Linked DNA regions of Kluyveromyces lactis. The protein of the gene in region 3 purifies or fractionates together with the protein of the main gene of each other region. This does not show direct contact. Links are inferred from orthologs where the notes say so. Each region holds a gene or a part of one and is shown on either strand. Other genes may lie near its edges.

Evidence for each region.
Region 1: the proteins of RSA4 (region 3) and MRT4 purify together in Saccharomyces cerevisiae (affinity purification with western blotting; 5 studies listed by BioGRID, with this or other methods). This does not show direct contact. The link is inferred for Kluyveromyces lactis from reciprocal best matches to the Saccharomyces cerevisiae genes RSA4 and MRT4.
Region 2: the proteins of RSA4 (region 3) and RPF2 purify together in Saccharomyces cerevisiae (affinity purification with mass spectrometry; 3 studies listed by BioGRID, with this or other methods). This does not show direct contact. The link is inferred for Kluyveromyces lactis from reciprocal best matches to the Saccharomyces cerevisiae genes RSA4 and RPF2.
Region 4: the proteins of RSA4 (region 3) and NOG2 purify together in Saccharomyces cerevisiae (affinity purification with mass spectrometry; 8 studies listed by BioGRID, with this or other methods). This does not show direct contact. The link is inferred for Kluyveromyces lactis from reciprocal best matches to the Saccharomyces cerevisiae genes RSA4 and NOG2.
Region 5: the proteins of RSA4 (region 3) and CIC1 purify together in Saccharomyces cerevisiae (affinity purification with mass spectrometry; 3 studies listed by BioGRID). This does not show direct contact. The link is inferred for Kluyveromyces lactis from reciprocal best matches to the Saccharomyces cerevisiae genes RSA4 and CIC1.
Region 6: the proteins of RSA4 (region 3) and ALB1 purify together in Saccharomyces cerevisiae (affinity purification with mass spectrometry; 4 studies listed by BioGRID). This does not show direct contact. The link is inferred for Kluyveromyces lactis from reciprocal best matches to the Saccharomyces cerevisiae genes RSA4 and ALB1.
Region 7: the proteins of RSA4 (region 3) and ARX1 purify together in Saccharomyces cerevisiae (affinity purification with mass spectrometry; 12 studies listed by BioGRID, with this or other methods). This does not show direct contact. The link is inferred for Kluyveromyces lactis from reciprocal best matches to the Saccharomyces cerevisiae genes RSA4 and ARX1.

Annotation. Positions count from the first base shown.
Region 1 is NC_006038.1:1,184,309-1,186,746, reverse strand, and holds MRT4 (mRNA turnover protein MRT4), read left to right. Parts: upstream 1-1,221; coding exon 1,222-1,938; downstream 1,939-2,438. Other genes in the region: putative ubiquitin-protein ligase UFD4, read right to left, coding at 1-320; SHU1 (Shu1p), read right to left, coding at 2,032-2,438. UniProt on the Saccharomyces cerevisiae protein: Component of the ribosome assembly machinery. Nuclear paralog of the ribosomal protein P0, it binds pre-60S subunits at an early stage of assembly in the nucleolus, and is replaced by P0 in cytoplasmic pre-60S subunits and mature 80S ribosomes.
Region 2 is NC_006037.1:704,979-707,823, reverse strand, and holds RPF2 (rRNA-binding ribosome biosynthesis protein RPF2), read right to left. Parts: upstream 1,536-2,845; coding exon 501-1,535; downstream 1-500. Other genes in the region: MTD1 (methylenetetrahydrofolate dehydrogenase (NAD(+))), read left to right, coding at 1-363; NUP133 (Nup133p), read left to right, coding at 1,971-2,845. UniProt on the Saccharomyces cerevisiae protein: Required for biogenesis of the 60S ribosomal subunit.
Region 3 is NC_006039.1:748,529-751,784, reverse strand, and holds RSA4 (Rsa4p), read right to left. Parts: upstream 2,049-3,256; coding exon 501-2,048; downstream 1-500. Other genes in the region: IMG2 (mitochondrial 54S ribosomal protein mL49), read right to left, coding at 1-214; mitogen-activated protein kinase kinase kinase SSK2, read right to left, coding at 2,576-3,256. UniProt on the Saccharomyces cerevisiae protein: Involved in ribosome biogenesis. Required for processing and efficient intra-nuclear transport of pre-60S ribosomal subunits.
Region 4 is NC_006039.1:1,670,945-1,674,840, reverse strand, and holds NOG2 (putative GTPase NOG2), read left to right. Parts: upstream 1-1,374; coding exon 1,375-2,181; intron 2,182-2,661; coding exon 2,662-3,396; downstream 3,397-3,896. Other genes in the region: RNA-binding ATPase activator ESF2, read left to right, coding at 124-1,005; CCR4-NOT core DEDD family RNase subunit POP2, read left to right, coding at 3,851-3,896. UniProt on the Saccharomyces cerevisiae protein: GTPase that associates with pre-60S ribosomal subunits in the nucleolus and is required for their nuclear export and maturation.
Region 5 is NC_006042.1:2,032,635-2,035,687, forward strand, and holds CIC1 (Cic1p), read right to left. Parts: upstream 1,632-3,053; coding exon 501-1,631; downstream 1-500. Other genes in the region: ELF1 (Elf1p), read left to right, coding at 2,534-3,049. UniProt on the Saccharomyces cerevisiae protein: An adapter protein that specifically links the 26S proteasome to its substrate CDC4 which is one of the substrate recognition subunits of the SCF E3 ubiquitin ligase complex. Required for turnover of cell cycle regulatory proteins CDC4 and GRR1.
Region 6 is NC_006041.1:1,345,430-1,347,618, reverse strand, and holds ALB1 (Alb1p), read left to right. Parts: upstream 1-1,206; coding exon 1,207-1,689; downstream 1,690-2,189. Other genes in the region: DUF5427 domain-containing protein MTC1, read right to left, coding at 1-546; ribulose-phosphate 3-epimerase RPE1, read right to left, coding at 1,826-2,189. UniProt on the Saccharomyces cerevisiae protein: With ARX1, involved in proper assembly of pre-ribosomal particles during the biogenesis of the 60S ribosomal subunit. Accompanies the pre-60S particles to the cytoplasm.
Region 7 is NC_006042.1:1,098,206-1,101,856, reverse strand, and holds ARX1 (putative hydrolase), read left to right. Parts: upstream 1-1,435; coding exon 1,436-3,151; downstream 3,152-3,651. Other genes in the region: PDA1 (pyruvate dehydrogenase (acetyl-transferring) subunit E1 alpha), read right to left, coding at 1-428. UniProt on the Saccharomyces cerevisiae protein: Probable metalloprotease involved in proper assembly of pre-ribosomal particles during the biogenesis of the 60S ribosomal subunit. Accompanies the pre-60S particles to the cytoplasm.

The DNA.
Region 1 (2,438 bases), on a different chromosome or scaffold from region 3:
AGACGAGAAACAATATCTTGTAGAAACGAAATCCTGTCCGCACGGTCCCCAGAACGGCTTTCATGATAAACATTCCCTATCTCACCTTCTACTTCCTCATCGTCTTGATCTTCATCTTGATCTTCGTCCAACTGCTCTCCTTGCGATCCATCTTCTTCCCCGTCTTCGTCTTCATCATCATCATCATCGTGATGGACAAACTCTAAATCATCTTCATCCTCTGGATAAGAATATTCGCCAGATTCAACATCATCACTTTCATGGCTACCGTTCGCATCTTCATATATGATATAGTCGCCATCGCCATCGTAATAACTCATCTTTTCAAAACCCTTTCCTGTTTCAAATCACAAATAAGAGGCAAAATTACTATCTAAAATTTCTAGTTCACAACCCGGTATCTCTTACCACCTTAATAATTGGTATCTTAGAGGTTGTTAGACTTTGGCAAGCAATACAAGAGGTATGTTTAACTCGCCGGCTGTTCATATCAAACCAACTAGTTTGTTTCCTGCTAAATATGTACTGAGATTGCAATTTCCTGACTCTGAACTTTTAAGGTACATTTTGGTCCGGTACACTGCGGTTTTATCTGAGGAAAATATACACAATACCCGTCGCCACAAGTAATGAGTCACGTGACTAAGTTTACTTCCCCATTTACAATACATCTCCGGTAATAGGTTAAATCATTACCACTATATCTACTTGCCCGATACACGATCATGCCCTATCTGTGCCTTTCTAGTCTTGATATTTGTGTTGAATTGAGATCTATTGTCTCATTGGCAATGAGTGAGAGACTCAGAAATCAGTCAAGGGAATTCATACCGGAGTTTGGTTTTGCAGTTCCTTAGAATAAACCTCTCTAACCGAGCTTATGAGAATGGCCCTAGAGCATTGCAAAAGAGCCGGTATATGTCTTACCGATTCACTTTGTGTCAGAGGTCGTTACTTTCCGTTTGGAAAAATCAAATCACGTGACTCACAACTAGAAAGAAAAAGAAAGGCGCAAATTTTTCAGTTTGAGAAAGCTCATCTCATCGCATCTACTCGATGGACCTTTCATAGTTTAAACTGATCAACAGTACTAATCGCTATATTCTATCAGTTGTATTCCTCTTTATTTATCTCTCTTCTGTAATTGAATAGTGTTCTGATAATTGTTTACTTTTCGTTACTCTTTATCATCAAGCTACTACATATACCAACCCAGATACGATGCCAAGATCTAAGCGTTCAAAGTTGGTTACATTGGCCCAAACCGATAAGAAGGGTAGAGAGAACAAGGAAAGGATATTCGATGAAGTTAGAGAAGCCTTGGATTCTTTCAGATACGCTTGGGTTTTACATTTGGAAGATGTGAGAACTCCAGTTTTGCAAGAGATTAGAAGTTCTTGGGTTGGATCCAAGTTAATCATGGGTAAGAGGAAGGTGTTGGTGAAAGCGTTAGGTGAAAAGCCAGAGGAAGAGTACAAGGAGAACTTGGCCAAACTATGTAAGCACTGTTCTGGTGTTACTGGTCTATTATTTACCAACGAACCTGTCGATGTAGTGGAAGATTACTTCAAGGCATATGTGAGAGCTGATTTCTCCAGACCAAAATCAAAGGCTCCATTGTCTTTTACCATTCCAGCCGGTATTGTATACTCTCGTGGTGGTCAAATCCCAGAAGAAGAAGATGTGCCTATGATACATTCTCTGGAACCAACTCTAAGAAACAAGTTCAAGATTCCAACCAAAATTAAGAATGGTAAGATTACCATCGAATCTCCATACTTGGTCTGTGAAAAGGGCAAAACTCTAGATGTTACTCAAGCATTGATCTTGAAACAATTTGGTATAGCAGCTGCTGAATTCAGGGTGAAGGTTGCCGCATACTACGATAACGAAACTTCTAGTGTGGAACAGATCAATATCAACATGGATTCGAAATAAATCCAAAAATAAGAAAGCATTGCAGTGATAAACTATAAATATATATATATAATCATAACCTATATATTTCTCCTTTGTACATTAATCTCTTCTCTAGGAATCCTTTATCGAATACACGTACTGCCAATATTCGGTCAGATTCTTCCAACCTTGAGACATCATTCCCAGATCTGTCGCTGACACCATTCTGATACGCACAGCGTACTGATTTTCCAGTCGAAGCGATCCATGAAGGATGAGGTTACAATGTCGCAGCTGGGAGATTGACAGATCAAGAGTTTTCTGTGTCTCTTCTGATTCCAATTGTTCTTTCGTCATTAACAGGGACTCTAAACCGTAGATGATAATTTCTTCATAGCACATCGATGTGTTTCCTTTATTCTGGAGCTCAATCTCGACATATGTCAAGTACATATATAAATACTGTAATTTATCAAGGAACAGAATCCGCACGTTGGATCGTCCCCTGACTATATCATCAATACTGTTAAAGAAATGCG
Region 2 (2,845 bases), on a different chromosome or scaffold from region 3:
TCTGTTGATATCAACAACATTCAGAAGTTCACACGTGGGCAAGGTTTGAAGTTTACGAAACATCATGTAGAAGACTTGGGTGCATATTCAGAGGAGCTATTGAAGGAATGCTGTAAAGATGCTGACGTGATAATAACAGGTGTTCCTGGTGAAAAATACAAGTTCCCTACTGATTACATTAAAGAAGGCGCTATCTGTATCAATTTTTCCTCAGAGAAGAATTTCGATGAGTCTGTGAAATCAAAAGCATCGCTATACGTTCCAAGCACCGGTAAAGTAACCATCTCCATGCTGTTGAGAAACATGCTCAGATTAGTAGAGAACAAACAAAAATTGCAAAACCGTTCAGCCTCCACGAATTAAGGCAGTGGATCGATCAAAAAAAAAAAAAGAATTATACTCTATTTCACCTTTATCTCATATATATGCGAATGTGTATGTATATGATTAGATATGTATATGAATTATATTATACAGTCAGTTTTTATTGTCAATGGAATTTATTTCTTTTGCTTCTTAGCAGGTGGAGCATCGATATCTGTTGCCGTTACGAATTCTTCACCGTAAGTGTCATCGACATTTTCTTGATCAAGATCGCCTTCAACTTCTTCTAGGTACTCTTCCATATCCGAATCCACTTGATCGTATTTAGCCTTCAAACCCTTCATCTTTCTAGTTTGCAATTGACCCAAATCTTGCTTACCCACATGCACTCTACCGATCTTATCACCCATAGTATCGATCTCAACGTTCTTAGCAACTCTGACTTCCAATTGTCTAGGTTTCTTATGGGCTTCCTTGACCATTTCTGGAGATGGAGTGTGAATTCTTCCGATCTTGAAATCGAATCTTGGACCAATCTCTTCCAATTCCACTCTAGGTAACTTCTTACCACCTTGTTCGGACTTGTAAGTCTTCAAGTGATACACTCTGAATAGAACATTTGGTAATGGTTCACCGTCTTGGAAATCACCTTGGACAGTGATAGAAATGATATGTTGCAAACCTGCAACATCTTGCAAAGTGGTATTCTGACCTCTGAAAAAGTCAAGGAACAATGATTTGATATGCTGGTAAACTGGATGTTGTTCAAAGGCTGCACCTTGGAAACTGAACATTGGCTTTAACCCAACGTTAAAAGTTTGTTTTCTGAAATCAGACAAAAGTTTATAGTTTTCTGCAATCTGCAACTCGATAATATCATAGATCTTATACCCAAACGTACGAATAAAAGTCAAATTGTTTCTTCTCTTCTTAGAATGTGTGCTCAACACCATAAGCGATGTATCATTCTTTTCAGATAAAAACTCTAATGGTTCATAATCTTCAAAAGGTCTGATGTTGTTCTTCTTGGAGAATCTCTTGATATCAGGCTTCTTCAACGCACTCAAATCAACCATTGAATCATGCAACAACTTGGTAGAAGTTTGACCAGGAATGAATAAAGCTTGCTTTACATTCTCAACCAATTTTGCTTCTTTTTTATCCAAAGCCCTTTTAGCACGGGCATTCTTAGGCTTTACTGTTCTGATCATCCTGGTGTTTACGGTGTCTTGATACAAATCACAACAATTACACCTTATAGGATAGAAATCTGAGCCAAAAGATGAACTATGTAGACTGTAACTTAGCTCATCGCATTTAGCTCATCGCATCGATTTGTTCCAGTTTAAAGATTTAATTTTCCAAGTTACTTGATAAGTGAAAAGAAACTATTCCAAAGTCACGTGGCGGAAAATGTTTCACGTGACATCACTTATGACGATTTCTTTGGCGACAATGAAAACAGAAACATTGACCAAGATTTTAAACAATGAGCATCAGAGAGTCTATTTACCTTTATAATTACAGCAATGCAAGGTCAAGCTAGGTTCGGCTAACAAGGTAGTGGATCAATTGAGATTAGAATTTCAAAGTTTTACATTTGGTGATTCTTTTGGCTTTTTTTTTCAGTGTCAAGATAGTACAAGATGAAGCAATTGTTTCAGCTCAGGAAAGAGCTTAGTGTACCAGCAGCAGCACCAGAGGATTCAGTAATCTCTGCTGAGGAAACGACAACTGGTTCTGCTGTCACCAATGTACAATTTTCGAATGAACAAGTTATCACAGAGAATGGGAAGTATAAGGTATCGAAGTTAGCGCCAAGTTTAAGTTTTTTGCCCAGTAATGTGGAATTATGTTGTAGCGTTGATGCAAAATCTGGGTACGCCTTATGCTGCGATACTGATAATGTTTACGTTTGGCCATTTTTATCTTCTGAAACACACCCTAGTTTTGTAAGGATTCCATTACATGACGAGGAATATGAATCATGGTCCCGTCCTCCATTATGTTGCTTTACGTGGCCTAGTGTGCTCGAACGTGACTTGAAATCAAGCCCTGGCTTATTTTTAGTGAACAGTAGATCCGGTGACATTCAATTCTATGAAGATGTTGATACTGTGAGTCAAGTGGCAAGTTTCTTGACGCAAACCAAACGTCATAAATCAGTTTTAAAACTACGTGACGGTGAATATGTAGAGAATTTGATTAATGCAGAACCAGCTGGAATATTACTTTCGACAAATTACGGGCGTGTTGAGTTTTGTACTATAAGAGATGCTAACGGGAAACCTTTTGTATCGCTAAAACAAACCATAATAAAATGTCAAGTCGGAATCTTTTCATCCATGTCCAAATCAAAGAGAGTGGTATCTCTCAAATTGGGCGAAATCAGCGGTAAAGGAGAAAGAATAGTTTCTATTTTAACCCAGGGCGGGCGATATCAGGTGTGGAACCTTTCATCTGTTGGGAATTGTTACAAAAAGATCGATTTAAATGTACAGTCTGAAATTTCACAGGCAGT
Region 3 (3,256 bases):
GACTTTGACTGTCAAATAAAGCACTGAGTTCGGCACTTTCGGCATCAGATAATGGTCCCAATTTGTCCATTTCTGATTTAAGTTCATTTAAAAGCTCAATTTCTGAGTTTTCCTGTTGTTGTGGTTGCTGTGCTTGGGTTGATTGTAGTCTAGTACAAATCCGAAATGATCTTGGGCTCATAGCCGCAAAACTTCTTGTAACTCTTGTAAGCATTATTAACTAGCCGTTGTATTATTAGTAGGCTGTTGTGTGGTTATGCAGGTTTTCCCGGTGTACACCTTTCTTACTATATAGATAACTTATCGATTTCCTATGGTAAATGCCGGCTGAATCGTTCTTCATCTTTTCAACTATGCTTGAAGCTTTAATTTTTCAAAATTTTCAGCTTGTAAGAAGAAGGGACACCTGTGCACCTCATAATAAATGTAAAAGAAGCTATAACATACATAAGGCAGTCTATAATTTAATCATGCTAATTATTCAGATGCAGTGGATCCACTCAATGAGTCCATATCCTGACCATTTTATCTTTCCCACCGCTACATACACGTTTACCGTCTACAGACCAATCTACAGTGTAGACTTCATCTTGATGACCGGGTAGATCGACGGACAGTTTTCTAGTTTTGACATCCCAGACTTTTAAAGTGGTATCTTTGGAACAAGAAACGAGTAGTCTACAGTCGCTTGACCAAGCTACTTGGTAGACACTCGCTACATGTCCTCTAAAGGTGGATAGGAATTTACCATCCCTTCCATCCCATAATTTAATGGAGTTGTCAAAGGATGCAGAAACAATGTAACGGCCATCTGGCGAAAATGCAACGTGGTTGACGAGCTTTTGGTGGCCGGTCATTCTGGTAATAGGTTTAGTAGACTTCAAGGGGTTCCACAGATACATAGTAAAATCGTCACTGGCAGTTACCATCAGTTCTTCGAAGTCACCTTTTCTTTTAGCAACTTTTTCGTAATTTTTCAGAGCCTTCTGTTGGGCTTCTTCAGGTGAAGCAGGAGTTTCGCCCTTGTGATCGAACGCACCGAGTCTTAATGCATAATCTGTTGAAAGTGAAAGATGATTAACCCAATGGGCGTGTGATTTTAGGATATTGATACATTTACCGTTCAAATTCATGTCCCAGCATCTGATTGTTTTATCGTGAGAACCACTGTATAGAACATTTTTTCCACCCCACTTGACACAGGAAACAGAAGACGTATGGCCACATAAGGTTAAAAGGCAAACTCTTCTTGTTGTATCCCAGATTTTGATAGTTCCATCCTTGGATGCAGTTGCTAATCTCGGTTTGTCACCAGGTTTGACAAGATGGATTGGTTCCCAAGATAAGGAGGTAATCCATTTCGAGTGACCTCTTAAAGCATCACCATAAGGCTTACCTTTGCTTGATTCCCATAATCTAATTGTGTTGTCCATAGAACCTGTGGCGATTAATTCACCATCTGGAGACCAGGAACAACATAGGACCCAGTTGTGATGGCCTTGTAACGTGCACATACGCGTTTGAGTGTCACAATCCCAGATACATGCAGTATTGTCACCAGCACCGGTAACCATCCTGGAGCTTGTATTTGGAGCAAATGCAGAACACAAAATTGTCGAGCCATGACCAGCAATTGCAGAAGACGACCGAGTTACTGGTTTTACTTTGAAGATAGCTCTTGGGGTATACACTAGAGTCAAAAAATCTTCGGTAGTTTTCAAACCTGGTTTTAAAATGGATTGATATAGATTATCTCTAATATCTACCATTTCCTCATCTGCATCCTTCTTTTTGTTGCTAACTAAACAGCTAAACGTGTATGGAACAGGATCTGCCGAGTCTCCATTTAACTGATTCAACAATTCCTCCAGTTGCTGCTCCGAAATACCACCTGGAACCCTTAGAGAACCTCCAACAGTTTCACCACTGTCAAAAGCTTGGAATTTAATGAGAACATTTGGAAGGTCTTTGGGAATAAGGTCAACTCCACGTTCAGCTTGAGCTTCTCTTCTTTGCTTCTTTGAAGGCGGTGGGAGTAAGGTTGCCATGTTTCGTTTGGATTGCTTGGCCTAACAAATTCAGAGAATTATTTTGGGCTCGTTTAATTACCTAAAAACTTCTTTCGAGAAAAGACCTGTGATTATTGCTGGAATACTAATATCGTTCACCAGAACCTTCTCCTTTTTAGGGAAGTCGACTTGGTAGTTGAAGCTCATCTCATCTCATCTCATCGGCATCTCAAAAGATTTTCTTGAACTTAAGAATTTCTTTTAGTTCACCACTTCCGGGTAATATAAATCTTTATTATGTTGAAACTATGCTCTGAATACCTTATGGGGAGCATCAGGCACAAAAAATTCCTAGACTGCAATTTACTTACTGGCAAGCAACTCACAGATAACGGAAAGTGCATGTTACATTGATACTATACGGATCCGGCATTGTTTAAAAAAAAGTCAAACAAAAGTTCCTATTATTATTATATATACATACAATACTTATACAAAAAAAAAATCTATGGTTACAATTGTTACATATGATCGTCATGGGGAGGAAACTTTTATGTCTATCAGAACTAGTTATGAGTTTCATTATTAAAAGATTCTGCATTGCCACCAAATGCAATGTTACGTATTTGAGAAATCCAGGGATCAAGTAACAATTCCATTGCAGTTGCTCTTTTATTGGCATCTTGTATTAAGCATCTGCTTATGAACTTTCTACCCGCAGATGAAATTTCAGACTTGGTTGGGAATTGCGGAAGGTGACCAGCTGCAACATGATACATGATAGCCCATTCATTGTCTAAGTTAGCCCATGGACGTCTACCGGTCACCATTTCCAGTACAACACAACCTAAAGACCATATATCATCGGATCCGAATTTTCCGTGTCCTTGACCAGTCACCGTTTCTGGTGCCATATACATCGGTGTTCCGATCATATCTTTCCCGCCTGTAGATTTGTTATTGGCATCCAGTGATATCCTCTTTGATCCGTTCTTTGCAATGAGTTTTGCGGCACCAAAATCTACATATTTGATAACGCCATTACGATCCAATAAGATATTCTCCGGTTTGATATCTCTGTGCACAACTCCAGATTGGTGCAAACATGCCAATCCCTCAAGTAATTGTAGTGTGTAAACTTGAGTTACCATTTCATCTTCAATCCGGCCATGTTCGAGTAAACTGGCTAAGGAGGAACCCTCGCAGAATTCCATAAAGATATTAACCTTGTCTCTGTGAACTTCCAC
Region 4 (3,896 bases), about 920 kb from region 3:
GCCATACTGAAAAATTTGGAACTAAAGCGATGAGATGAGATGAGATGAGATGAACCATATACATGAGAGAAGAGACAACAGACCACAAGGTTCAGCAGGTTAACTAAGGACAACAATAACACGATGAGCAAGGAGTACAGCGATGTGGATGATTTTGCGTCAGACGAAGAAGAGGACAACCAAGTGTTGATCACTGGGAAGGATGCGAAGAAGAATGTGATTCAGTTTGATCAAGAAGAGGACGAGGAAGAGCAAGAGGAAGAGGACGAGGAAGTACAGGATGAAGAAGAACCGGAGGATAAGGTAGTACAACTCACAGAACAGCAGATAGAGAAAGAAAAGCAGAGACGACTCAAAAAGCTTAAGAGCGATAAGAAGACGAAACACAAGACCGGTGTGGTTTACCTATCGAGGGTTCCACCGTACATGAAACCAGCCAAGCTAAGGCAGATTCTCACAAGATTCGGTGAAGTGGACCGTCTGTTCTTGAAACGTGAAGAGGAGCACAAGCACCAGCAGCGTGTCAAGAGTGGTGGGAACAAGAAAACGATGTTTGAAGAAGGTTGGGCCGAGTTTATCAGAAAGAAGGACGCTAAACTGTGCGCATCGACTCTAAACGGTAATATTATCGGTGGTAAGAAGGGAAATTTCTACCATGACGACGTCATGAACGTTAAATACTTGCCCGGGTTCAAATGGGCCGATTTGACAGAACAAATCGCTAGAGAAAACGATATCAGACAAGCAAAGCTACAATTGGAAATCTCACAGGCCAACAAGTTGAACGCAGAGTTCATCCATAACGTAGAGAAATCAAAGATGGTCAACAAGATGAAACAGAGCAAGAAACGTAACCAACAAGAATCACAGCAGGTCGATGAAGAAGTTCGCAGGACTTTCAAACAGAGGAAAGTCGCTTCGACAAGAGCATCTGCTCCAGATTCTCAGAGACAATCCCAACCGCAATCGAAAGCACTCAACGATGTCATGCATAGTTTATTCTAAGATGACTATATAACACATATATAAAGCATATAGCCAAGCCAAAAGCCCTACAGAGAGTACAACTCATCGCCTGCCATTCCCATGGTCAAAGATCAGGTTTCTTTTTCATTCCCATAGTGTAAGAAAAAGTGAAAAGAAAAAATTTTCCAGCTCATCTCATCTCATCTCATGAATTGGAACAGGAACAAAGGCAGGTTCATCAGTGGTTTGTTTCGATTCAGGTTGATCTCAGTCCAGGCAAGAGACATTCAGTTACTTATTCTTCCATCTGTTTGAGTTTTCGATCGAAATTGAACGTGTTCGTTACCACAAAGAACGAACAAACGAACGAACCAAAGGAAACCTAATTGAAATCTATACCAAGGCACAATGGGTACCGGTAAGAAGGAAAAGCAAAGGAGAATCCGCGAAGGTAATACCAAGGATGGTAACCTTCGTGTGAAGGGTGAGAATTTCTACAGGGACACCAAGAGAGTGCAGTTTTTGAACATGTACAAAGGTGGTAGATCTGTTCGTAATGCAAAGGGTGACATTATCAAGGCTGCTCCGTTGCAGGATACTGCTGCTCCAACAGCAAGAGTGGCTCCTGACCGTAGATGGTTTGGTAATACCAGAGTTATTTCTCAGGATTCATTGAGCCATTTCAGAGAAGCTTTGGGCGAGAACAAGCGTGATTCTTATCAGGTGCTATTGAGAAGAAATAAACTTCCGATGTCGTTGTTGAACGAAAAGGATTCCGCTGAATCTCCAACGGCAAAGATTTTGGAGACAGAGCCCTTTGAACAAACTTTTGGGCCTAAGGCTCAGAGGAAGAAACCAAGAATCGCTGCGTCGTCGTTGGAAGAGTTGATTTCAAGTACTTCTACCGATAATAAGACTTTTGAAGAAAAGCAAGAATTGGATTCTACTCTGGGGCTTATGGGTAAGCAAGAGGAAGAAGACGGTTGGACGCAGGCAGCAAAGGAAGCCATTTTCCACAAAGGTCAGTCGAAACGTATTTGGAACGAATTGTACAAGGTTATCGATTCCTCCGATGTCGTCATCCACGTATTGGATGCTAGAGATCCTTTGGGGACTCGTTGTAAATCGGTGACTGATTACATGACCAATGAGACTCCTCATAAACATTTGATATACGTCTTGAACAAGTGTGATCTTGTTCCTACATGGGTTGCCGTATGTTTTAAACTTTCTTTTTAATCTTCAGTGATTACTACTAACCGATTATACTTTCTAACTGGGAGTGAATACCACAGTATCTTGAGAATACCAAAATTCTTTGTCAGGGTGTTTCTGCGTACATTCTAGTACAACTTACACATACAGAAGGGCCTGTTACAGTTTTGGAAGAGCAATACTACCCACCCTCGATCTATCCATCGTTTTGATGGAGTCATGGTTGAAACCTAGTTGAACAATCTTCGTTTTGAGGATATATCAGCGCTTTTATTTCGGGTACGGAGGAACTTAAGAGTTGAGCTTTGGATCTGAAAAGAATTATTATGCCATGGCTCGTAGTAAAGAACCTCACATCACCACTAATATACTCAATACAGCATGGAGTCAACCCCCAGTAGAAAGCATAATTGGTTATTGATTCACATATGTGATTACAATTTTACTAACACGATTTTCCCTATTTTTGATTCTCAACAGGCAGCATGGGTAAAACATCTATCGAAGGAACGTCCCACATTGGCATTCCATGCCTCTATTACCAATTCATTTGGTAAGGGTTCGTTAATTCAACTTCTACGTCAATTCTCACAACTGCATAAGGACAGACATCAAATCTCTGTTGGGTTCATTGGATATCCAAACACCGGTAAATCCTCAATCATCAACACTCTAAGGAAAAAGAAGGTCTGTCAAGTGGCACCTATTCCTGGTGAAACTAAGGTGTGGCAATACATAACTTTGATGAAGAGAATCTTTTTAATCGATTGTCCCGGTATTGTACCGCCATCCAGCAAGGACAGTGAAGAGGATATTCTATTCAGAGGTGTGGTAAGAGTTGAACACGTTTCGCATCCTGAACAATACATTCCAGGTATTCTAAAACGTTGTAAGAGACAACATTTGGAAAGAACCTATGAGATCTCCGGATGGAAAGACTCTGTAGATTTCATCGAAATGATTGCAAGAAAGCAAGGTAGACTATTGAAAGGTGGTGAACCAGATGAAAGCGGGGTATCGAAACAAATCTTGAACGATTTCAACAGAGGTAAGATCCCATGGTTCGTACCACCACCAGAGAAGGACAAGATTGAGGAAAAGGAACCTGGTGATAAGAAACGTCCTGCAGAGGAAAATCAAGAAGATCAAGAAGAGGAAGAGAAGGAGCAAGAGGAACAAGAAGAACCTGTTTCTAAAAAGGCCAAAAAGGAATAAACCAAACACTTCCTCAATATTTAATTCTCTCCAGACACGGGCATCGCTTTATATATAGACACACCATATACAATCTTATCGGATCTATCGTTTTTGTACATTAATATCAATCGGATGACTTAGGCTAAGTCTTGCACATAGAAATTTATTAAATAAATAGTAGAAAGGCTGGATAACACCGAACGTTGTGAAGCATGCAGATCAGGGGCAGAAACACTGGACAATGGACCCATTCGGGTCCACTGTCCATTGAGAAGTGGTGCCAGTGGTAATATCAACACCGTACACAATGACATTTCCCTCGAAAATTCTGTTTCTGCCAAAGAGGAACGAAACAGGAAAGCCTTTAGCATTAGATAAGGAAGAGACAGAGACATATATGGTTGGAATACGATTCAATTCTGATTTAAGAGTTGTCATTTAGGACTACTCCAGTAAGTACGATAGAATTTTAATGCAATCTCTTAATAGTCAGCTCGGAGGATTGCCAAATTCGGAGC
Region 5 (3,053 bases), on a different chromosome or scaffold from region 3:
AACTACGAATAAGCACGAATAACAGAGGTGATGATGTGAAAGTTTGTGAAATCTGTGGTTTATATAATATTTGACATATGTTTAATATAGTAATTAAATCTTTTTGTGACACTTTTATTTTTCGTTTTTCCTTTTCCTTCACTGACTGCATGGACGCACCAGTCCACACAGAAAAACCAGCAAACCTAAATGTGGCACATCAGAAAAGTTGTTCGAGCGGCGATGGGTTTGCACCATCCAAACAATACTAGGAATAACGTTTTCCTGCTGGTTCGAAAACGCACTGAATTTAACTACTGTTATTCTTTTATGAATTGCAAAGTATCGATGCTATCTGGAAAATTTGAGTACAGATTAAATACATTTTGTAGGGAAAACTATCATTGTAGGAGCGGTGACAGCCGTTAAATCTATGCTAAATGGGTAAGTTTTAAGACGATATTTGTGAAGGATAGAAATTAAGAAAGAGGAATGAAAAAAAACGCGATACTCCTGTACCTCTAATTTTTTACGTTTTTATTCTTTGTCTTTTGTCTTTTAGCGCTGGATTTTTGTTCTTTCGTTTGCTCTTTCTTTTGTTCTTCTTGCTCTTCTTCTGCCTCGACCTCTTCCAAGTTTCTTTTGGCTTGCTTAATTTGCGTAGCAAACAAGGAGTCTAGTTCGTCTGGATTTGCAATTTCTAACAAAGATTTCTCAAATTGTGATAGTTGCAATTCGACACCATCAATTTCTATGACATTTTGAACGGAAGTCTTAGCATCATGTCTGGACCCAACCAATTTGTCTAATACTTCCAAATTAACGTATAATGGAAGGACTGGTGATTCGTTAGATTTGAGAAGAATGGTTCTGATATTGTACTTTTCGATGAACTGTTTAGCGACAGAAATGATATTTTCAGTCAATTGTTCTGGGGTGAACCATTCCAATGAACCTAGATGAACATTCATCGTGTTACCTCTTGGAAGTTTGACTGGGATTTTAGTATCATAAATTCTCTTGATGCTATTTACCAAAGTTGTCTTGTTAAACTTGTTATCCGATCTTGTGTTAATGGCAATTGGAGTGGTATTCAACTTACTGTATGCTTTACCACCTAATAGCTTGGGCAAAGCTGTCACTATCGAGTCATCAGCTAGAATGAAAGAAAAATCCTGTACAAATGCACGCCTCTTTTCAAAAGCCTTGTATTTTGTCTTCAAATCTTTACCAGATATGATGGCATCAATAGTAATATGTTCTGGAAGTAGATCGATCAAGTCTTCTGATGTCACTGAATTGATATCAGAATCTTTTAGAATCAAAAGAGTCTTGAAATCTTTAACCATGGTGGTGCTAGCTTCCTTCCATGGCTTGAAGATAGAATGAGGAACTGTAATTAGTTTTGGTTTGAAGTTTTTCAAAGAACCAGTAAAAGATTCAGTGTTGACTAGGATCAACTGTAGCTGAGCCTCCAATTCAGAATCATCAATTAACTGATTGTCATTTGATCCATTTTCCTTCAAATATTCTTGCAATTTAATAACAGCATTGTTAACTCTGTTAACTGGAATGACTTCTTCCTCTTTACTGCCCTTAGTAGCCTTGGTGGCTTTGGTCGAAACCTTGCTTTTCTTAGTTTTAGTTGCCATATTATCTAAACTTTGATATTGCTTATAATGTGCTTGTAGATATACTAGACTGGATGAGTGGAGTTATTTCCTCTATATTCTGGATTCTTTCCAAGCGTTTTTTAACTTACTTGATTCGCACTGTCTCAGAAAAAGATCAACAAATTGTTGGTTCACCTAGGTAAGCTTACTTCTCGAGTTCGTACTGGCAACTATGAAATATCCAGTATATATCTAATCAATCCTTTGAGCTGAGAAATAAGAATAGGTACTTAAATACTTTACATACCATTACTTTATTAATCGTGTTAGGTGTGCAACATACTTCGAGATGAGATGAGATGAGCTATGATGAGATGAGCTCTCTATTGTCAAAAATAAAAATTTTCTGTTTCGCAGGAGCTCCACTGTGTTCACGTAGTTAGTAAATATTGCTTTTTGAAAGCGAAGGCCGTAATATATGATTTGAAACTTTTCTTGAAATTTGATAACATTTGACACTTAAGAAATAAAGAGTAACCGAATCTGATATTGAATCTCGGTGCGTGTTTGTGCAAAAGTTACTAATGAGCAACGGGCTACGTTCAGTGAATGGGGTTACAATACAAAAGGGCTTAAACTGTGTATTTTAGGGTTTCTTTCTCTGGTTTATTTCGGAACAGTACTATTTTTGAGTTAGGTTTTTTCGGCTGTCAAACAGGACTCACGATCGATATAAAGGATACCTTAACAGAGAATACGCCGCACGAATCTGATTTATGAGTTATTAAGTTGCTATTATTATTATTATTATTATTATATCGTAAACATAGTCATCGTCCCCGTTCATTTATACTGCAAAAGGCATATTAGCATATATTAATCAAATCTAGCCGCAGGGGTAAGCATACGCTCTCACAAGACAAATAAGAAGAGCATTAGACATGGGTAAGAGAAAGAAGTCATCCAGAGGTCCAGCCAAGAAGATAGTACAGAGGTTAGATACGGCATTCAATTGTCTCTTCTGTAATCACGAACGCTCTGTGAGCGTAACAATGGACAAAAAGAATAACATTGGCTCGCTTCATTGTAAGATTTGTGGACAATCGTTCCAAACCCGCATTAATGGTCTATCACAACCGGTAGATGTATATAGTGACTGGTTTGATGCGGTTGAGGAAGTTAACGAAGGGAAACATAGCGAATCTGAAGATGAAAACAGTGACAGTGACTACGAGAGTGACTCTGATACTGAGCCTTCTTCAAACCGTAGAAAAGCTGTTGGAATAGATTCTGACGAAGAAGAAGAAGAAGAACAAGAAGAAGACGAAGATGCGGATTACGGAAGAAAAGGAGCGACCGAACGAAAAGACTCAGAACCAGAATCAGACTCAGACGATGACGGTAAAATATCTAACAAAAGAGGAAGAGCAGCATGGATGGACAGTGATGACGAGTAGTCGA
Region 6 (2,189 bases), on a different chromosome or scaffold from region 3:
AGTCAATTGTGAAGTAAGCCCAGAAATGACATGAGACCCCTGCAATGCCGTTAATCTGGCCCCTATGTCGTTTATTTTCAAGTTGCCCTCTTGAGTAGCTATCTTCTCTTTCAATTGATTGGCTTGTTCTGTGGTCTTGTTCCAGAAACTGGATACTGTAGCAGAACCGCTAGATGACCACCAATTGGAAATTGACGCCAGTGGGTCCTGAACTGCCTCTTCACCTTCTTCTGCCACATGTTCTTCTTTTCCTTTCTGTTCACTCGGTTTCTCTTTACTGGCTGTCTCTTCTACAGGTTTCTCGTTCGATTCTGGCTTCTCCTCCGGTTTCTCTTTCTCTTGCTTCTTAGAGGATTGTGGCTTGTCCTTTTTGGACGGTTTCTTCTTAATATCCAGGTTACTATTTTCCAATTCGTCTAAGAATTCCATAATATCCTCATCCTGGCCGCCGTTCCCACTAACCTTACCCTTTCCCTTAGTGTTATTAGCAGTACTGGCTGGTAAAGAGTCTAAAAACTCTAGCACATCATCGGCATCACTAGTCATTTGGTGTTTTCTTTTTAAGTCTTTACTGTCGATAAAACTTGAATATTGATACGAATTGTTCAATCAAGAATCGATATATTCAAACTAGAAAATTATCGCTGAAAGGCAAGACAAAACTCCAACGGTTGAACTTAAACTAGCCTCCTAATCCTTGTGAACACAAGTATATAGTTTCTATCCTTTCTCTATTGTCATGGTTCCAACTACCGTGTGTTTTTTTCATGTATTGGTCCATTCTAAGGGTGGGTCGTATTTAAATATCCGGGTAACTATGTCACTTTCATTACCATGAAATAACGCTGGTATACATAAAGTGAGCAGTTAGCCGAAATGTAATGAGCACCGTGGCCTTTATCACCACCTATTCTTACCCCTTCCATAGATGGTGCTCTCCAGTACCAATGTCGGCATGTCTTGGCTTAAATCTTAGCATTTTTCATTAACTAATACCGTATCTATTTTGTACTGCCGTTTCTTTTCTAAAATTTTTCATCTCATCTCATCGCGAATCTGTTGAAAAGTTAATGCATCTCCATACCATGTACTTGATCCCCCGTTACTATTCACCTGTGCTAGCTATCTTGTTACTTGTTACTCTTAGTACTGGCTAGTATTCCTGGAACTACAAGTTAACGGTTAATCACAGTACTAAAATTCGAGATGCCATCTAAGAACTCCATTAACAGGCCAAAGCAAAAGGTTAACTTGAACCGTAAGGTTCATCAACGTGCTGCCAAGAGAGATGCTATGGAAAAGAAGGGTTTATTGGCACCAGCAAGATCTTCAGGAACATCTAAATCTGGTCAGTTGAAGAGTATACCATTGGATCTTTACAAAGGCGAGCATTCGACCTCTGGTGCTCTTACGACCAAGACTCTTTCGAAGAAAAGAGCAAAGAAGATCGAACGTAACTTGAAATACGTGGAACAAAGAAAACTATTAGTTGATCTACAATCTCAAAGTGAGGAAAACGGTGGTATGCAGATTGATGCGCCTGTTGTGAAGAAGGAGAAGGAAACCAAGAAAGGACAATTGGAAAAGATGAGAGAGGCTATTTCCACGGTGTTGGAAGATATTCAATCTCAAGGTTTATCCCTTCAGACAGGTTCTGGTACAACTCTAGGTGGTCAGTATTTCTTGTAGAGAGTCTTAAAAATCGTTAAATGGGGTTTGCATTGTCTATATAAACATTTTGTATACTAGGATAGATCTTAAACGGATCGTTCATTAAATATTATTCTGACATAAAAAAGAGTGCGTATATGTACTTAGGTACTTACTACTTTTCGTATAAACCTTTGGTCACTAATGCATCATTGACCTTGGTTTTCATAAATCCAATGACATCTGCTGGGTCGTGCGCGCGGAACACAGAGGTACCGGCAACAATGACATTGGCACCTGCCTCGGCAGCAAGTTCGACATTCTGTTTACCAAGACCACCATCGACTTGAATGTTCAAATTAGGAAATCTAGTTCTCAAGTCCTTCACTTTGCTCATCATATCGGCCATGAATTTTTGGCCACCGAAACCCGGTTCGACAGTCATTACAAGAGCCATATCCAGGGATGGTGCCAACTCGTACAACACATCCACAGGGGTACCTGGCTTCACAGAACAGGCAGCCTTCATACCATGCTTC
Region 7 (3,651 bases), on a different chromosome or scaffold from region 3:
ACAGCAGCACCTCTCATGTAGGTGAAACCATGACATCTGTAAGAGGTGATGACGGTATCACGCTTAGTGATAGCGTTTTCAATACCAACGGCAATGGCTTCTTGACCGACAGAGGAGTGACAGAAACCTCTAATTTTCTTAGCCTTGTACAAAGCGTCACAGGCCATTTCCATTCTTCTAACGATAATCATATCCTTGTACATTTGTAGCAAATTGGACTTGGTGGTTTGATAACTTAATTCAGGAACATCCAAAAGATAACCTTCAAAAGAGGTTTCTGGCAAATCAATTTGAACTAGGTCATCATCACCTGGCTTAGTTTCATCAGCAACCTGGGACAAAGCACGGACGTTTTTAGAAAAGTTTCTAACCAATCTCAAAGAGCTGGACTTCCCAACCACAGAGGATTGAGCTTTCAAAGATAGCATGGTTTGCCTAATTTATTGTTCTTTTCGGTATTAACTACTATAGCGACCAACAATTAGAACACACAAATACACACTCAGCAGTAGTGATGGCAAAATATGTTGTATAGAGAAGAAATAAAGAAGAAGAAGCTCTGAGTTCCTGATTCTATATTAAAACAAAAAAAAGCCAACTAATGAACGATTCCTTGTTCCAAAAAATTTGACAAAAATCAATCAATCAATCAATCAGTCAGTCAATTAATCAATTGCTTGGCTCAGTATCACTGAAAGACCAAAAAAAGGTTCTTAATCACGCAACAACTGTTTCTCATCATATTCACAATTAAATCCGCCTTTAAATACTTGTGAACTTGGGAAAAAAACTTCAAAAAATTTCGTAGCCAGCCAGTCGGTATAGATAAGGGACTTGAAATAACAAGAAGTGGGTATAAGCAAGGTCAATTTTGCTCTAATTGGGGTCAAACTTGAACCGTTGGGTAGCTGATGATGCGGAGAGTATTGATATTCTACTTATTATGGGATATCTGACAGTTTCGTCTGGTGTAGGTAGAGTTTATTGTGCTGATTCAATTAGACAGACGGGATTGTTGTTAGAAAGAGTGGGAAAAGTGACGTGCACAGCGCGGTGTTTGGGTGGAACATGGGCAGCAGATCTATTACCCGGATAATATGCGGGTCATGAGTTCTAATGATACACATTACCCGAATATTAATACTTTTGGCGCACGTGATCAGAAAGTGATTTCTTTTTCATTCTCTTCTGATCGAGGTCCGGGTAATATTTTGGAAAATTTTTTGAAATATCTTAGTGCTGTGTGGCAGGAAAGGTTGTATCCAGGAAAGAAATTTGGAAAAAAAAAGTATCAGTGAAAACTTTAAAGCGATGAGATGAGATGAGGTAAAGAGAAACGAGGTACATACTTACATCATTATCATAGTGTATCGTTCCCTCCTTTGTATCAGAAAACAGCTAATACTAATAATTTGTGGATAAAATTATCCGTACTATGGCGTTACAAATCTCAAAGGAAGACACTCAGGTGTTATTGAAAGATAAGAATGTATTGATCGAACCAACAATTGAGAAATATAGAACTGCAGGTCAAATTGCTCAGACTGCTTTAAACTTTTTGATCAGTTTGATCAATAAGATGTATCATGAGAAGTCTATGGAGCCGCTACCGATTCATCAACTTTGTTTATTGACTGATTCGTTCATAGCCGATTGTTTAAGTACTAAGTTCAACAATAAGGTTAACGAGAAGGGAATCTCAATGCCAACTTGTATTGATATCGATGAAATAAACGAGAACTGGTGTCCTGAAGTGGATGACATCGAAAACTTGTCCCGTTGGAACCAAAAATCTAGATCTACCAAATCGATCGAGCTATGTAACGGTGTTACTTCTAGTTTGTCTGGGTTTTTGAAAGTTGGTGATGTCGCTAAGATCACTTTGGGTTGTCACATCGATGGGTACACTTGTAACGTGTCCCACACCGTGGTCATTTACCCAACCGTTCAGGATGCCCAATCTGGAAAATTGCTACCTGAAGCTGCTTTGCTAGGTGGTAAAGCTGATGCTCTAGCTGCCACCCATATCGCTGTTGAGTCCGTCACTAACTTATTAGCTGCTGCAAACGATTTGACCAAACTTCCAGCTGATTTCAACGCTACGAAGGTCACTGGTTCCTTGATTAGGACCGTAGTTGACACCATTGCTCAATCTTATAATTGTTGCGTTGTGCCTGGTTCTCGTATCAGAAGAATCAAAAGATTCCTTTCTGGTCAAAACGAAAATATCATTGTCGAAAGAGACTTCAAAGGTGTCATTTGGACTGAGTCTCATCAGGAAGCTGCTATGCTTGCTAGAACCGTCAATGAAACTGCTGTTGATGTCAAGCGTAAGAACCCATTTATCACCGAAGATACCGTGGTCCCAACAGATGATTTTACCGTTGTCAAGGGTGAAGTTTACATGATCGATTTGAAGTTGGCTCCATTGCAAGGATTGGAGCCAGGTTTGATCACTTTACACACTGTCGATCAATTCTCCGGTAAATCTGAATCCTCTGATGTGGTGGCTAGACCAGGTGCCATCTGCCGTGATTTTTCAAAGAGCCATGTTCTAAAGTTAAGAGCTGCTAGACAAGTGTTGACCAGATTGGATAAACAAGGTGTATACCCTACCAAATTAGCTCATATCGCTGATTCTTTCCCATTGGACGTACAGGAGCCTGATTTCGAAACCATCAAGCAAGAAATCAAGCCATTCAGATTAGGTCTTTCTGAAATTTCTAACAACTACCTAACAATCGACAGAGATGTCACCATCGTAAAACACGTTCCTTGGGCTAAGATCTTGGATCTAACAAACCCATCCGGTGTGTCAAGTTATGACGCCATGGCAAAGAATAAAGGTTTATACCCAGGTTTCGAGCTTCCTCTACCTAAACTAGGTTTGTCCAACCTACAGTTGAAATCCTTGCTAAAAAAACACTCTACGCCAGTTCCTGTGGTCCGTCAATGTGTCACTGTAGCCATCTGTGATGAAGAGTTGCTAAGAATCAGCGGAAACCTAAAATCTAACTGGGTTCATTCTGTTTACTCTATGGATACTGCAAGCAATATCGTTGCAGGTATATTCAAACTGGCTCAATTGTCCGAGGATAAGAGATTTGGTTTGAAGATCAGAGAAACTCAACCATGGAAAATGAAATTCTAATTTATTCATTACCAGTATTAACTACCTTCTTTGATAGAACTACTTCAACAGATAACAAATTCTATTTCATACACAAACACCCTTTTCGCATCTGCACACAATAACTCTACATTGATACACCAGTTCATATTATATTCAATACTCGTTTGATTTCGGTAGCCCAAGAGTCTTGTTCTTATGAGTCTTTATTCTTACCAACCAATTGCAACAAAAACAATGTATAAATAGCAACTTCTAAGTATCTTGTAGATCTGTACACTAGCAAAATCATAATAGAACTCAAGCTCTCAACTTTGTCATTAGTTCTTCTACTATTAGTGTGTTTGCTTCGGAAGGATTATCAAAACGTTCAAAATGATGGCGGCTAATTAGATTTTAGTATAAAAAGGATTTGGAGTCAGAAACCAAATCAACAAACCCAACTACCAATGAATATGACATAGCGAGATATCTAGTGCACATAACTAGGAGCGAGAAGGTGATCCTAAAAACCAATAACT